Macaca mulatta: one gene and its partner. Each later gene encodes a partner of the first gene's protein in a complex. Links are inferred from orthologs where the notes say so. Each region holds a gene or a part of one and is shown in the gene's direction. Other genes may lie near its edges.

Region 1 (7,306 bases):
AAGTGCTTTGCACTCATTGGGTGCCTTATTAAGGCATTATTTCTCTTCAGTATCTGAAGGAAGATAATGTGGAAAATGTGTGTCTGATGATCTTGGAGTAGCTCAAAGGGTTGAGACAGTGGGTGGCCATTTCAGAGGGCTGGTTTGACTGACTGCGTAGAAGCCAGGACATCAGGTTGTTGAAGGCAGCATAGTCAGAAATGGGGAAAGTACAGGGAGAATTCCAGCCCTCACAGGGAGTTGGGTTAGCTCTGTGAAGCCTTTTGGTCTAATGTTTTGTGGTTCCTTGAATTCTTTTATCTTACTGGGTGCATAGAACCTCTCTGGAGATCTACCTCCCCTTTTGTAATTGTGGTAAAATACACATAACAAAATTTACCTTTTTTTTTTTTTTGAGACAGAGTCTCACTCTTGTTGCCAGGCTGGAGTGCAGTGGTGCAATCTCGGCTCACTGCAACCTCCGACTCCCTGGTTCAAGTGATTCTCCTGCCTCAGCCTCCCAAGTAGCTGGGACTACAGGTGCCCACCACTGCGCATGGCTAATTTTTGTATTTTTAGTAGAGACGAGGTTTCACCATGTTGACCAGGATGGTCTCGATCTTCTGATCTTGTGAGCCACCCACCTCGGCCTCCCAAAGTTATAGGCATGAGCCACTGCGCCTGGCCCGAAATTTACCATCTTAACCGTTTTTGTTTGTTTTTTTGTTTTTTGAGATGGAGTTTCACTCTTATTGCCCAGGCTGGAGTGCAGTGACGCTATCTCGGCTCACTGCAACCTCTGCCTCCCGGGTTCAAAGTGCTAAGATTACAGGCATGAGCCACTGCGCCCAGCCATTTTGTTTGTTTGTTTGTTTGTTTTCTGAGACAGGGTCTTACTCTGTCACCCAGGCTGGAATGCAGTGGCATGAACATAGCTCATTGCAGCCTCAAACTCCTGCACTCAAGCAATCCTCCCACCTCAGCCTCCTGAGTAGCTAGGACTATAGGCATGTGCCTCCAGGCCTGGGTTATTTTCTTTTTTTTTTTTTTTTTGAAATGGAGTCTTGCTGTGTCACCACCAGGCTGGAGTGCAGTGGCACAATCTCAGCTCACTGCAACCTCTGTCTCCCGGGTTCAAGTGATTCTCCTGCCTCAACCTCTCGAGTAGCTGGGACTATAGGCGTGTGCCACTACACCCAGCTAATTTTTGTATTTTTAGTAGAGGTGGGGTTTTACCATGCTCGCCAGGATGGTCTCGATCTCTTGACCTCGTGATTTGCCCACCTTGGCCTCCCAAAGTGCTGGGATTACAGGTATGAGCCACCGTGCCCAGCCATTTTCTGTTTTTATAGAGATGGGGGTCTCACTATGTTCTTTTTTTTTTTTTTTTTGAGACGGAGTCCCGCTCTGTTGCCCAGGCTGGAGTGCAGTGGCGCAGTCTCAGCTCACTGCAAGCTCCGCCTCCCCGGTTCAAGTGATTCTCCTGCCTCAGCCTCCCGAGTAGCTGGGACTACAGGTGCCCGCCACCACGCCCGGCTAATTTTTTTGTATTTTTAGTAGAGACGGGGTTTCGCCGTGTTTGCCAGATGGTCTTGATCTCCTGACCTCGTGATCCACCCACCTCAGTTTCCCAAAGTGCTGGGATTACAGGCATGAGCAACCGCGCCTGGCCGGGGTCTCACTATGTTAAGGCTGTCCTTGAACTCCTGGGCTCAAGTGATCCTCCTGCCTTGGCCTCCCAAAGTGCTGGGATTATAGAAATGAGCCACGGTGCCCAGCCATCTTAACCATTTTTCTGTGTATGGTTCAGTGGCATTAGGTACATTCATATTGTTGTGCAGCCACACCGCCATCCATCCACAAAAGTCTTTGCAGTTTGAAAACTGAAACTGTCTCGGTTAAACACTAATTCCCCATTCTTCCCAGTCCCTAGCAACCATCATTTTACTTTCTGTTTCTATGAATTTGACTGCTCAATGAGTGGAACCATACAGGATTTGTCCTTTTGTGCCTGGCTTCTTTCACTCAAAATCATGTCCTCAAGGTTCATCCATGTGCCAGCATGTGGCAGAGTTTCCTTCTGTTTTAAGGCTGCATCATCCATCATATGGACAGATTGTGTTTTGTTCATTCATTGGAGATATTTTCTGAGCCTTCTGTGTTTCTGACCTGGAAGTGCTAAGCCTACCCACATTGGGGCTCCTGAACCTTACTGAACAGGCCCAGTTCCTGGATGGGGTTTGGTGCTTCGGGTTTTTCTTTTGGTCAGTAACCACATCTGTTTTGGGGCTCCCTCAGGGACTACCGTGCCATCCCAGAGCTGGACGCCTATGAGGCCGAGGGACTGGCTCTGGATGATGAGGACGTAGAGGAGCTGACGGCCAGTCAGAGGGAGGCAGCAGAGCGGGCCATGCGGCAGCGCGACCGGGAGGCTGGCCGGGGCCTGGGCCGCATGCGCCGTGGGCTCCTGTACGGTAAGTCCAGGTGCCTGCCTGCCCGAGGGGCTGGGAAGCTGGGAAGGAGTCCGGGAGGGGAGTAGAGGTGCTGGAGATGACTACAGTAGCAGGTGTCTCTTGCCTCCCCAGACAGCGATGAGGAGGACGAGGAGCGTCCTGCCCGCAAGCGCCGCCAGGTGGAGCGGGCCACAGAGGACGGCGAGGAGGACGAGGAGATGATCGAGAGCATCGAGAACCTGGAGGATCTCAAGGGCCACTCTGTGCGCGAGTGGGTGAGCATGGCGGGCCCCCGGCTGGAGATCCACCACCGCTTCAAGAACTTCCTGCGCACCCACGTGGACAGCCACGGCCACAACGTCTTCAAGGAGCGCATCAGTGACATGTGCAAAGGTGTGGCTTTCCTCAGCTCCCACCTCAGCCCCTGTAGCACCTCCATAAATCTTCCCACAGAAAGTTTTCCCAACCCAGTGAACACGTGAAGTACAGGGCATGTGACTGAGAGGTCTGTCAGAGAAACTAAAAGTATTGAGTTTTGCATCAGGGCTCTCCTGCTGGCTGTGCAGTGACCACATCTGGGCCACCAAAGCATTTTTTTGATAAGCTTGTAAATGGACAGATTTTATATAAAAATCTGGATTACTACTTTGATATATGTAATAGGAATTGTCTTTTTTTTTTTTTTTTGAGACGGAGTTTCGTTCTTGTTTTTGTTTCCCAGGCTAGAGTGCAATGGCGCAGTCTCAGCTCACTGCAACCTCCGCCTCCAGGGTTCAAGTGATTCTCATGCCTCAGCCTCCCAAGTAGCTGGTATTACAGGCATGCGCCACCACACCTGACTAATTTTTTATTTTTAGTAGAGACGGGGTTTCTCCATTTTGGTCAGACTGGTTTGGAACTCCCGACCTCAGGTGATTTGCCCACCTTGGCCTCCCAGAGTGCTAGGATTACAGGTGTGAGCCACCGTCCCCAGCCAGGCATTGACTTTTAAAAGGGACGTGTACATCTTGATTCCTGCAATTCCTTCCCCTGCTTTTTGTCCTGTGTTTGACAGTTTATTCATAGATTTTCTTCTAGGCTCTTGTAAGGCATTTTGTGTTTATAGTTCTGTAGGCACTCTGCTCGTGTTTAACCCCCCAGCAACTTTGTGCACCATGTGACAGGCCCATTTTACGGAGTGGAGAGTTGAAGCTCAGGCTATGTCACAGCGGAAGTGTGGTAGACCTAGAAGTGAAAGCTGGACTTTCTAGGTCAAAGTCAATGGTCGGGGTGGGTAGGCCTCACTTCTCACACAGACATTGTTGCCGTCCAGCCCGGTTCTCATGCTTCATTAACTCTCTTCCCACCATGCCTCCCTCTAGAGAATCGTGAGAGCCTGGTGGTGAACTATGAGGACCTGGCAGCAAGGGAGCACGTGCTGGCCTACTTCCTGCCCGAGGCGCCGGCGGAGCTGCTGCAGATCTTTGACGAGGCTGCCCTGGAGGTGGTACTGGCCATGTACCCCAAGTACGACCGTATCACCAACCACATCCATGTCCGCATCTCCCACCTGCCTCTGGTGGAGGAGCTGCGCTCGCTGAGGTGAGCTGAGGGCAGGTGAGGATGGCAGGTCTGAGCTCAGTGCTGGGTAACTCAGTCGTGATTCCAGAGAGCGCTCGTGGTGTGGGCGGGGCAGGGTGCAGCCAGCAGCACCCTCATCGCAGGTGAGTTGTGGTTGCACAGGAGTGTGATGGGAGGTATCTTCCCAGGCTGGGGGCTGGGCCCAGTTTCCACGACAGTGTGTTGGGACACCCTCGTCTGCAGCCTGGCCTCACCCTAGCTCACAGCTTCTGATGCTCCCTCTGCCTCTGCAGGCAACTGCATCTGAACCAGCTGATCCGCACCAGTGGGGTGGTGACCAGCTGCACTGGCGTCCTGCCCCAGCTCAGCATGGTCAAGTACAACTGCAACAAGTGCAATTTCGTCCTGGGGCCTTTCTGCCAGTCCCAGAACCAGGAGGTGAAACCAGGCTCCTGTCCCGAGTGCCAGTCAGCCGGCCCCTTTGAGGTCAACATGGAAGAGGTGAGAGAGGCCACAGGGCCTGCTGCCAGCTCTCCTTAGGGGTGCCCAGTATGCAGGGCCTTACTGGCCTCTCAGGCTGTAGAAGACCAGTGTGGGCAGCCTCAAGAAGCAAGATAGAATTGTGTGTTGGCCACACCCTGGGGTGGACCCAATCTGTCTGGCCAGTGAGCTTAGTTTGGCCCACACGGTGTTTTTAGGAATTCAAGTCAATATTTAGGTGGGGCGATTTTGTTTAAACCATTCAAGTTTATGGCTCCTCTTGAAACATGGGAAGATCTGGCAAACATGGGAAGAAGCAAACAGGTCCTGCTTCTTGCCAAGTTGCTCCTTCAGAATGTGTGCTTACCAGTCTCCAGGGGGCCATCACTTGCGTGGGGCGGCTGCAGTCCCATCGGGACTTCCCCTCGGCTTGTTTTGGGGACCTGCCTGGCTCATATGGGGCCCCTGGACCATACCAACCTCTTGCACCATATTCAGGAGATGCTGCCAAAGCCTCTGGCCTTAAGGTCTTAGGCACATTACATGTGCCTTTGTACTTGAGCTTCCCTGTCTGTAAATGGGCTTGTAGTCCCTGTGGTGGTGCCCAGGCCCCCTGACTGCCTTGCTGCTGTGGCTGTTGGCTGTCCTCTTCTCACCGCTCTGCAGTTCTGAGAACTGTCCCAGCTCGAGCCGCCTTGCCAGAAAATGCCTCAGAGGTCCCACCTGTGGCCATCTACAGCCAAAAGCTGACCCCTGCCTCAGGTGGGACAGCTGCAGGCCAGATGCCTGCTGAGCCACGTCTTTGCTCACTCTTCCCATGCCCTGTCTGTCTCCCTCAGGCCTTGCTTCTAGGGACCTGAGATAGTACCTGGTAGAGGGTTAACAGTTACAGCTATCATTCATGGAGTACTTATCAGTGCCAGGTAGTGGGTGGTTTATTACCTGGTCCTTTTTCACAGCTCGTGAGGCAGGAACTGTTACTGGCCCCACTTTTCCGAGTGTTTAGAGAACTGGCTGAGGTCACCCAGCCAGAATGTGGATCAGAGGTCCACAGCTCAGGCATCTTGATCCAGAGCATGTGCTTTTAACTGCAGTGCGTGTTGTGAGATAATGGACACGAAATGACATGGCACAGTGCTAGCCTGTGATAATTGACAGTGACAGCCAAGACTTCCTATAACTTACATTTATCAGATGCTGGATTAGGTTGATGTATGTTTGACTTGCTTTAATTCTCATTGTGAGGTTGCAGAGAAGGCACAGAGAAAGGAAGTCACTTGCCCAAGATCACACAGCTTAGACACAGAACCAAGGCAGCCTGGTTCCAGCATTGGTACTCAAGACAGCTCAGCTGTACAGCATAGAGCAGGTGCTGAGTCTGGCAGTCAGAAGGCATCCCAGAGGGATGGTGGCAGGAGTGGGTACTGTCCACTGATGTGCTAAGTAGCCATGAACTCATTCCTTGCTGTCTTTGGCTCTCCATTTGCCACTCAGGAGTCGGAATCCTGCCTGTTGTCCTGCCTGGTGAGGGGTCAAGGTTGGGTGACATAGTAAGTCAGTGCTTTGAGGCCTTCTCTGTGTCCCTCGCAGACCATCTATCAGAACTACCAGCGTATCCGAATCCAGGAGAGTCCAGGCAAAGTGGCAGCTGGCCGGCTGCCCCGCTCCAAGGACGCCATTCTCCTTGCGGATCTGGTAGACAGCTGCAAGCCAGGAGACGAGATAGTAAGTGGCCAGGGGTAGGCTGGAAGGGAGCCAAGTTGCAGAGGGAATTGGCAGAAGCAGTTGTGGCTGGGCTGGTGGAGGTGTGTATGGTCGCAGGGGCACTCAGGCTAGCATCTGTTTTTGCATGGCTGAGGCAAAGAACTTTATCTCCTCTGGTGGATGGGTTGTTGGAATGGTGGGTTTAGGAGGGCTTTTTACTGAGTTACTCATCTTGATGTCTGTAATGTGGAGCACTTGCAATAGGAGAAATTGGAGGAAGGCAGCACGGAGGTGGGCCCCCACTCTGCCTGTGGCCCCTCGGTTAGGCTCTGACTTCTTGGCCCCTCCCTTTCCCCAGGAACTGACTGGCATCTATCACAACAACTATGATGGCTCCCTCAACACTGCCAATGGCTTCCCCGTCTTTGCCACTGTCATCCTGGCCAACCACGTGGCCAAGAAGGACAACAAGGTCGCTGTAGGGGAACTGACCGATGAAGATGTGAAGATGATCACTAGCCTCTCCAAGGATCAGCAGATCGGGGAGAAGGCAGGTGGAAGGCAGGGGCTGCCAGGATGCTGTGAGGGGACATGGAGGTTTGCTGGGGGTGTGGCAGGCATCTAGGGCTCACTGCTCAAACCTTGCCTTATTCCCCTGGAGCTCAGTTAAGCTTGTCTGGAAGGGAGGCCCTGTGCTCCGGGGAAGAGGTAAACTCGCATTGGGGATGGGTGAACCTGGTTCTGGTTCTACCATGGGCCAGCGAGGTAGTGGGATAACTTGGATGACCTCTCTGAGCCTGTGTGGTGGGGAGGAGTCCCCTGCTGAGGATAGGGTTGCGACGAGAAGAGCTCTTCCTTTAGCAGATCATTTCGAGCTGTGGTTTGAAATGGGAACAGAGGCAGGCAATAGGATAATTTGTGTCATGAGGGATTCCTAGGGATCCAGTTGTGGCCAATGGGAGTTTTTTCAGAAAAACAACCCAGAATGGTGGTGGTGTTGTGTTTTGTTTTGTTTTGTTTTGTTTTGTTTTTAAATAGAGATGGGAGTCTCACTATGTTGCCCAGGCTGGTCTCAAACTCCTGGCTTGTCTCACACTCCTGGCTCAAGATCCTCCCACCTTGGCCTCCCA
Region 2 (7,306 bases), on another chromosome or scaffold:
TAAAATTAAAAAGCCAGACATACTTTCTATCAAGCTGTATCCTTTCAGTTGCTGTTAATTAGAATTAATTTTCATTGAATGACGTTAGTGAGAAGTTTAACATTGGCAGTTTTATATGACTATAATCTTGAATTATCTTCAGATCATATTAAAACTAATTGTCCATTGTAATATTAAATAAGCCCCTAAGTAATAAATGGTGAACTGTTAAACCTTTTTTAATCAAAACGTTCAATTGTGATTCTTTGTGGGAGAATAGGTGTGTTTTGACTAGAGAAGAAATTAGGTTCAGGTGTCAGTTTGTAGCAAATTCAGATTGTTAACATTTTGATTGAAACATATGCCTTATGATTCGGTAAAGAGAGGTAGCAAGAGGATTTCCATTTCTTTGTGGGGAAAAGGAGTCTTGGGTGATTCAGAATCAAGATAACTGCTTTACACATTAGGTGAGATTTGCTTTTGCAATTTCCTTGATTGTCATCTTCAGTCGTAAAGAGAAACATGAAGTACAGATGGATCACAGACCTGAGTCTGTTGTGTTGGTAAAAGGAATCAACACCTTTACATTGCTCAATTTTTTGATTAACTGTAAGAGTTTAGTTGCTACCTCAGGTCCACAGGCAGGACTTCCTCCAACCCTCTTGTCCCCTGTTGCTTTCCGAGGTGCCACAATGCAAATACTTAAGGTAATAAAAATCTCCATAACCTAGCTGTTAATACAAAGTACTTTACTTTGTTTGATAGGATAAATTCTTGATTTAAAAAAACAAAAAACCTCGTAGCATTTTTACTTGGTACATATTTTCCCTTTGCTTTCCTCCCATTAAAAAAAAAAATTTTATAAGACAGTTACATCAAAGAAATTATGTGGAAATATGTAAATTATATGAAATCCTTTTTATTTTCTTTTTGAGACGGAGTCTTGCGCTGCTGCTCAGGCTGGATGGAGTGCAGTGGCATGATCTCAACTCAGTACAACCCCTGCCTCCCGGGTTCAAGTGATTCTTGTGCTGTGCCTCAGCCTCTTGAATGGCTGGGATTACAAGCACACATTACCAACCCCAGCTATTTTTTTTGTTTTGTTTTTTCTTGTTTGTTTTAAGAGGGTGTCTCACTCTGTCACCTGCTGGAGTGCAGTGGTGCGATCTCAGCTTACTGCAACCTCCGACTCCTAGGTTCAAGCGATTCTCCTGCCTCAGCCTCCTGAGTAGCTGTGATTACAATTGTGCACCACCACGCCTGGCTAATTTTTTTTTTTTTTTTTTGCATTTTTAGTAGAGACAGGTTTTCGCCATATTGGTCAGGCTGGTCTTGAACTCCTGACCTCATGATCTTCCCTTGGCCTCCCAAAGTACTGGGATTACAGGCATGAGCTGCTGCACCTGGCCGCCCTGCATTCATTCATTCATTCATTCACTCATTCATTTAGAGACAGTCTTGCTGTCACCCAGGCTGGAGGGCAGTGGCTTGATCTTGGCTCACTGCAAACTCTGCCTACCGGGCTCAAGCGATTCTTCTGCCTCAGCTTCCCAAGTAGCTGGGACTATAGGCTCACACCACCATCCATGCCTGGCTAATTTTTTTGTTTTTTTTGTTTTGTTTTTGTTTTTGTTTTTTTTGTTTTTTTTTGAGACGGAGTCTCGCTCTGTCGCCCAGGCTGGAGTGCAGTGGCCAGATCTCAGCTCACTGCAAGCTCCGCCTCCCGGGTTCCCGCCATTCTCCTGCCTCAGCCTCCCGAGTAGCTGGGACCACAGGCGCCGCCACCTCGCCCGGCTAATTTTTTGTGTTTTTAGTAGAGACGGGGTTTCGCCGTGTTAGCCAGGATGGTCTCGATCTCCTGACCTTGTGATCCGCCCGTCTCGGCCTCCCAAAGTGCTGGGATTACAGGCTTGAGCCACCGCGCCCGGCCATTTTTTTGTATTTTTAATAGAGACAAGGTTTCACCATGTTGGCCAGGCTGGTCTTGAACTCCTGACCTCAAGTGATCTTCCCACCTTGGCCTCCCAAAGTGCTGGGATTATAATCATAATAAATTATATATGTAAATACAAAATACATACAATTTTATTACTTAGTAATAAAATTGAATGGACTTTAAATTTTTGTTTTTCCAATAGTCTGCATTGACAATGTGTTATTAAATCAGACAAAATACCATATGAAAAAGTGGTATTCTCTGGAATATACATCACCTGAAAATCTCATAATATGGAGAGGATGCTGAAAATTTACTAAGTATTTGTACTCACGTAACATTGTTTTGATGTCTTGGGAAATAGTTTTGTTCCATAATTGTTAAAGAGAGGAAACCCCAAATGGAAATATATTGAACATATTTTTGGCTAGACAAAAGGTTGAGAGATGATCATAATTTTCCTTTTCTTTAAATTTTCATAAAGGCACGAAGTGTAAATGTGAAGACACAAGCTCTTTCTGGATACAGAGACCAGTTTAGTTTGGAGATTACAGGTCCTATCATGCCTCATTCTCTGCATTCACTGACCATGCTGCTCAAATCTTCACAGAGTGGGTCTTTCTCTGCAGTACTATATCCACACGAGCCAACTGCTGTATTTAACATCTGCCTGCCAGTGGACAAAGTACTTGATATGGTAAGAAAGACACCTATGAGCAGACTGTTTTAGTTGTTTAGCTGGAGGGAAGTGAGTCATTTATGCTGAGTCACTTTTGTGTTTCAAGTAATTAAACTGTTATTTAATTACGAATTACTAGAGGAAAGAATAGCTTTCATGAATTCAGTCCAAGTACAATTTTCTTTTTTTTTTTTTTTTTGAGACGATATCTTGCTGTTGCCCAGGTGGAGTGCAGCTACGCGATCTCGGCTCGCTGCAACCTCAGCCTCCTGGGTTCAAACAATTCTGCCTCAGCCTCCCAAGTAGCTGGGATTACAGGCATGTGCCACCATATCCGGCTATATTTTGTATCTTTATTAGAGACGGGGTTTCACCATATTGGCCAGGCTGGTCTTCAACTCCTGACTTTAGGTGATTCACCTGCCTCGGCCTCCCAAAGTGTTGGGATTACAGGCTTGAGCCATGGCGCCCGGGCTCAGTCCAAATACAGTTTTAACAGTGACTGAAGAACTTCGCATTTCAAAAAGGTACAACTTTTATTTTCATTTCCTCTTGGATCCAAAACTCAGTAGTACCTGATTCCTTTATAGTTTAAGGAAACATGATTCACTGTGGGTATTTATTTAACCATATTTGCCTTTAATTTTGAATATACTTAAGGTTTTTAGAGCTAGAATAATTAAGACCTTTAAAATTATCTCATGCATCTCAGTTGGCTAGACTTATAAAAATAACCATTAATGTTTTGGGATTTTGTCACTACAAAAATTCTTAGGATCAACTTCTGTTGATAGGATGAATCACGTGAATGAGACATTTGTCAGTCTCCATAGTAATTATTTGAAACTCTTTTGTGTTTAAAGATTGATGTGCTTTTTACTGACTTGTATACACATTTCCACAGGAGGTTGTTCATAAGGAGCTTACTAACTGTGGTTTGCACCCTAACACTCTGGAGCAACTTAGTCAAATACCATTACTTGGGAAATCATCTTTACGGAATGTGGTGCTGAGAGACTACATTTATAATTGGAGATCCTGAACACCAAAGTAAGCCTAAAAGGAATCTTTGAGGAAAAAAGCCTTCTAGCAAGGAAATTCAAGATTCTTGAAGTTGAAGGAATATACTGACATGTTATAAACATAACTTTTATTACAGTAGCATCTAAGGTTTTAAATCAGTGTTTTCTGCTTTTACTATTTTCAGATTAGATTTTTAGATACAAAGATGAAAAACTCAGATAACTCAAATGAGCTATCTGTATCCCTACAACCTAATTGTATATTGAGTAGAAACTGAATTAATGTTTCCTTGCAAATGGGAAATCACATAGCAGTTACCTCATGGCATTGTGACTAATGGCATCAGGGCAAAAATATGTTACTTTACCATTTACCTAAGACTGTTAGCAGGTTCTTGTTTCATAAAGGTAGAAAATAAATATAGATAACATCTACTGAGCTAGCTGATTGGTGATGCTTCTACCTTAATATCTTTCCTACTGATTTATAATTCCTTTATTTTCACATATACTAAAACTCTAATGCATGTTAATTCAGATAAAAAGGCATTTTGTATTCCACATAGAATAGTGTTAAGAATTGTGAAGTACACACTGAGCTGTCATGGCAAAGTAGTATTTAATGTGCTTATAGGGTGTGGGGGTGTGTGTGTGTGTGTGTGTGTGTGTTGTGTGTGTTGGGATTGTATAATTCACATTTTTAAAATAAAAGTGCTTAGAAATCAAAAGCATTGGGTAAAGAAATAATAGTATCTAAGTATTTGTTCACTTTATAATCCAGAAAATAAAACACCACGTTTATTCCAGAGAAGTTTGTATTTGGGCCTTAAGCTTTTGAAAATAAAGTTTAGAGACATAGCATATGAATACCACTGTAATACACATGAAATATTCTATCGGACCCTAAAAATTAACATAAACTTTAACTTTCTCATAGTCAACAAAATAGTGGCTGGTTGCCAATTTTATTAGATAAGTTGGTTACAGCATTTTAATTATCATTTTACGTCTATCTAGGTGTAGCTGAAATTCAAAATGCACATCAAAGTAAAACTATATCACAACTCAATGCCATACTAAATGTACTTGGCCTCTGCAATAGTAGAATTCTAGTCAGACTTCATTTTTTACTCCCTTCTTATGACCCAAGTGGCTTTAACAGGAATGCAGGACTTAGTGCTGATCATCACACAACATACCACTTTCTTTTTAGAACCTCTACAAAATTTTGAGGGGAGATTGTGGCAATAGCCCTGTGGAACAGATCTTGATCACCTCAATAACACTGGCCCAGTATCTGTCCAGCAGAACCCATTGTGAAATAGTACAAGGTGCACAGCCCTTCACTGATTACAGGCAAGTGTTACAGTAGCCTAGCCATAAGGAAGGGGAGTTACATCATAGTACAAAATACAGTATAAAAGCGTTATTTAACATTCCACACTGAAGATTACTCTGATGCCTTCAAACAATCGTTTGGATGTTAGCCACTTAAACAAATACATCACTAAGGTAAACAATATAAACATACCAAAACCCTGTATGGTTAAATACAATTTCCATGGTACAAAAATCAAAGCCTGGAGATGTTTTTACAGATTGCTTTTTACACAATGTCTTAAATTGCCAAATATTTACAACATTAAAGAGGAAATACATTGTGATGCAGAGTAAAATTATCTGAAATGATTATTATAAAACCTCAATCTATCTACGTGAGGCACTCCTGAAGCAAGTGGCATTAGCCATGAGGTCCTTTGGTACAAGGCCCATTGCTTGAAGAACCACAGTAGCTGCTGTGGCTTTAGCATGCTTCTTATTAGGGCTGGCAAAGCTGGGCTGGTAAGCGCTTCCATTTATCAATACCTATTCAAGAAAAACATACAATTGGGCTGGTAAGGGCTTCCATTTCTCAATACCTATTCAAGAAAAACATACAATAAGAACAGCATCAAACTTTAATATCTATTAGCTTTGTATTTTTCACTAAATGCTAGAAAAATAATTTACAAAAATATAAAACCCATACTATGTAAGTCAAATTATAATCTCAACCCAGAAGCAGCAAATCATTTGGGAAAAGGGACTGCAAATTAAAAGCAGGTCTCCAAATTGAGAAAAAGACTGATAAAAGTATTAAATTAATTCCCCACATTCAACTAGAAAATAACAAATTGTATACTATATTTTGCCCAATTTTTTCCAATTTTTTAAAAAATAGGACATTGACAAGTCATATGAAAGCACCCTTCAGTTTAAAAACCCCACCACTTAACTACAAATACAAATCCCCCACCCATGAACAGAACCTTAATCCTGTCATGTTTACCCCTCACCCTCTAAGTTATCACATTAATAAATATATACAATTAGTGCAGAAATTCATATTTACCCTAAAAAGAAAATGTTTGCGATGATCAGGGCCACTATCATGGACCAACAGAAATTCAGGTGGTTGCCACCTTCTCTTATTACAGATTTCCATCAAAGCAGACACAGGATGTTTGCCTGCAGCGGGGGAAAAAATATCCAGTTTTAAATTATTTCTACCAACTTCTGCAACAAATAATGAATTCAAGGTGGGATTAGGGTAAGAGGAAATTCAAAAATGTGCTCTCACCTGACAGATCTTTCATTGCAGCAGAGAAGTTCCCAGACCTCTTTTGTGCTCTTTCTCCTACTGCAACAAGACCTTTAAAAAAAAAAAAAAAGATTGTTCACTAAATAACTTTCAAAGCACCATTTTAAAACAAAGATTCTTCTGTAGGAGTCTGACCCTCAAAATGTATGCCTTCAGATAAAATCAACAGATTCCTAGTACACTTGATTTCTCTATCAATCTTCTCTTCTCTTTTACTGTTTTTCAGCATACAAATTTATATTTAATATTCATAGACTTTGGTATGAGAAATTGTAATAAATACCAAATGTAAACAGAAAACAAAAATTTAAGTATGGCCAGAGGCACGGTGGCTCACGCCTGTAATCCCAGCACTTTGGGAGGCCGAGGTGGGTGGATCACCTGAGGTCAAGAGTTTGAGACCAGCCTGGCCAACATGGTGAAACCCCGTCTCTACTAAAGAAACAAAAATTAGCCGGGCGTGGTGGCGGGCGCCTGTAATCCCAGCTACTCGGGAGGCTGGGGCAGGCCAATCGCTTGAACCCAGGAGGCGGAAGTTGCAGTGAGTCAAGATCGTGCCATTGACAGCCTGGGCAACGAGCAAAACTCCATCTCAAAAAAAAAAAAAAAAAAAAAAGTTTATTGCTAAATGATTTCTGCAGATTTACTCTCTCAAAAAAGCCTCAGTTAAGACTCTTCCAAAAAAGGTTAGGATTTTAAGCCACCAAAAAGGTGAAAAAAGCGGTTGTCTCCAAATAAAATAGGTCCCTTTTTTCCTAGCAAACTCCCCTCTCCCTTCCTAACAAATGGGAGATGTTCTCAAAATATGAACATAACCTTTCTACATAACCTCCCTCTCCATAGGCTTATTACAAAGGGGATTAGCTATATTGCTAAACCCAAACACTGCTTTCCCAATTCCATATACAGGTTGAGTATTCCTTATCCAAAATGCTTGGGACCAGAAGTGTGTCGCATGATTCCAGGTTTTCAAATATTTGCATTGTATTTACTGGTCGAGCATCCCAAATCTGAAGAGGCTCAAATCCAAAATGCACCAGTGAGCATTT

Evidence for each region. The genes of interacting proteins can lie anywhere in the genome.
Region 2: MCM2 (region 1) and DONSON share a complex: the UniProt entries of both Homo sapiens proteins name them as parts of the replisome complex. The link is inferred for Macaca mulatta from reciprocal best matches to the Homo sapiens genes MCM2 and DONSON.

The regions. Positions count from the first base shown.
Region 1 is NC_133407.1:156,358,648-156,365,953, reverse strand, and holds part of MCM2 (DNA replication licensing factor MCM2), read left to right. Parts: intron 1-2,277; coding exon 2,278-2,453; intron 2,454-2,545; exon of another isoform or gene 2,546-2,564; coding exon 2,565-2,825; intron 2,826-3,793; coding exon 3,794-4,013; intron 4,014-4,285; coding exon 4,286-4,493; intron 4,494-6,062; coding exon 6,063-6,197; intron 6,198-6,534; coding exon 6,535-6,726; intron 6,727-7,306. UniProt on the Homo sapiens protein: Acts as a component of the MCM2-7 complex (MCM complex) which is the replicative helicase essential for 'once per cell cycle' DNA replication initiation and elongation in eukaryotic cells.
Region 2 is NC_133408.1:13,804,663-13,811,968, forward strand, and holds part of DONSON (protein downstream neighbor of Son), read left to right. Parts: coding exon 1-36; intron 37-487; coding exon 488-686; intron 687-2,399; coding exon 2,400-2,612; intron 2,613-3,498; coding exon 3,499-3,636; 3' UTR 3,637-3,644; exon of another isoform or gene 3,645-4,344; intron 4,345-4,413; exon of another isoform or gene 4,414-5,323; coding exon of another isoform or gene 5,324-5,535; intron 5,536-6,008; coding exon of another isoform or gene 6,009-6,124; intron 6,125-6,236; coding exon of another isoform or gene 6,237-6,308; intron 6,309-7,306. Other genes in the region: protein SON, read right to left, coding at 5,324-5,482, 6,009-6,124, 6,237-6,308. UniProt on the Homo sapiens protein: Replisome component that maintains genome stability by protecting stalled or damaged replication forks.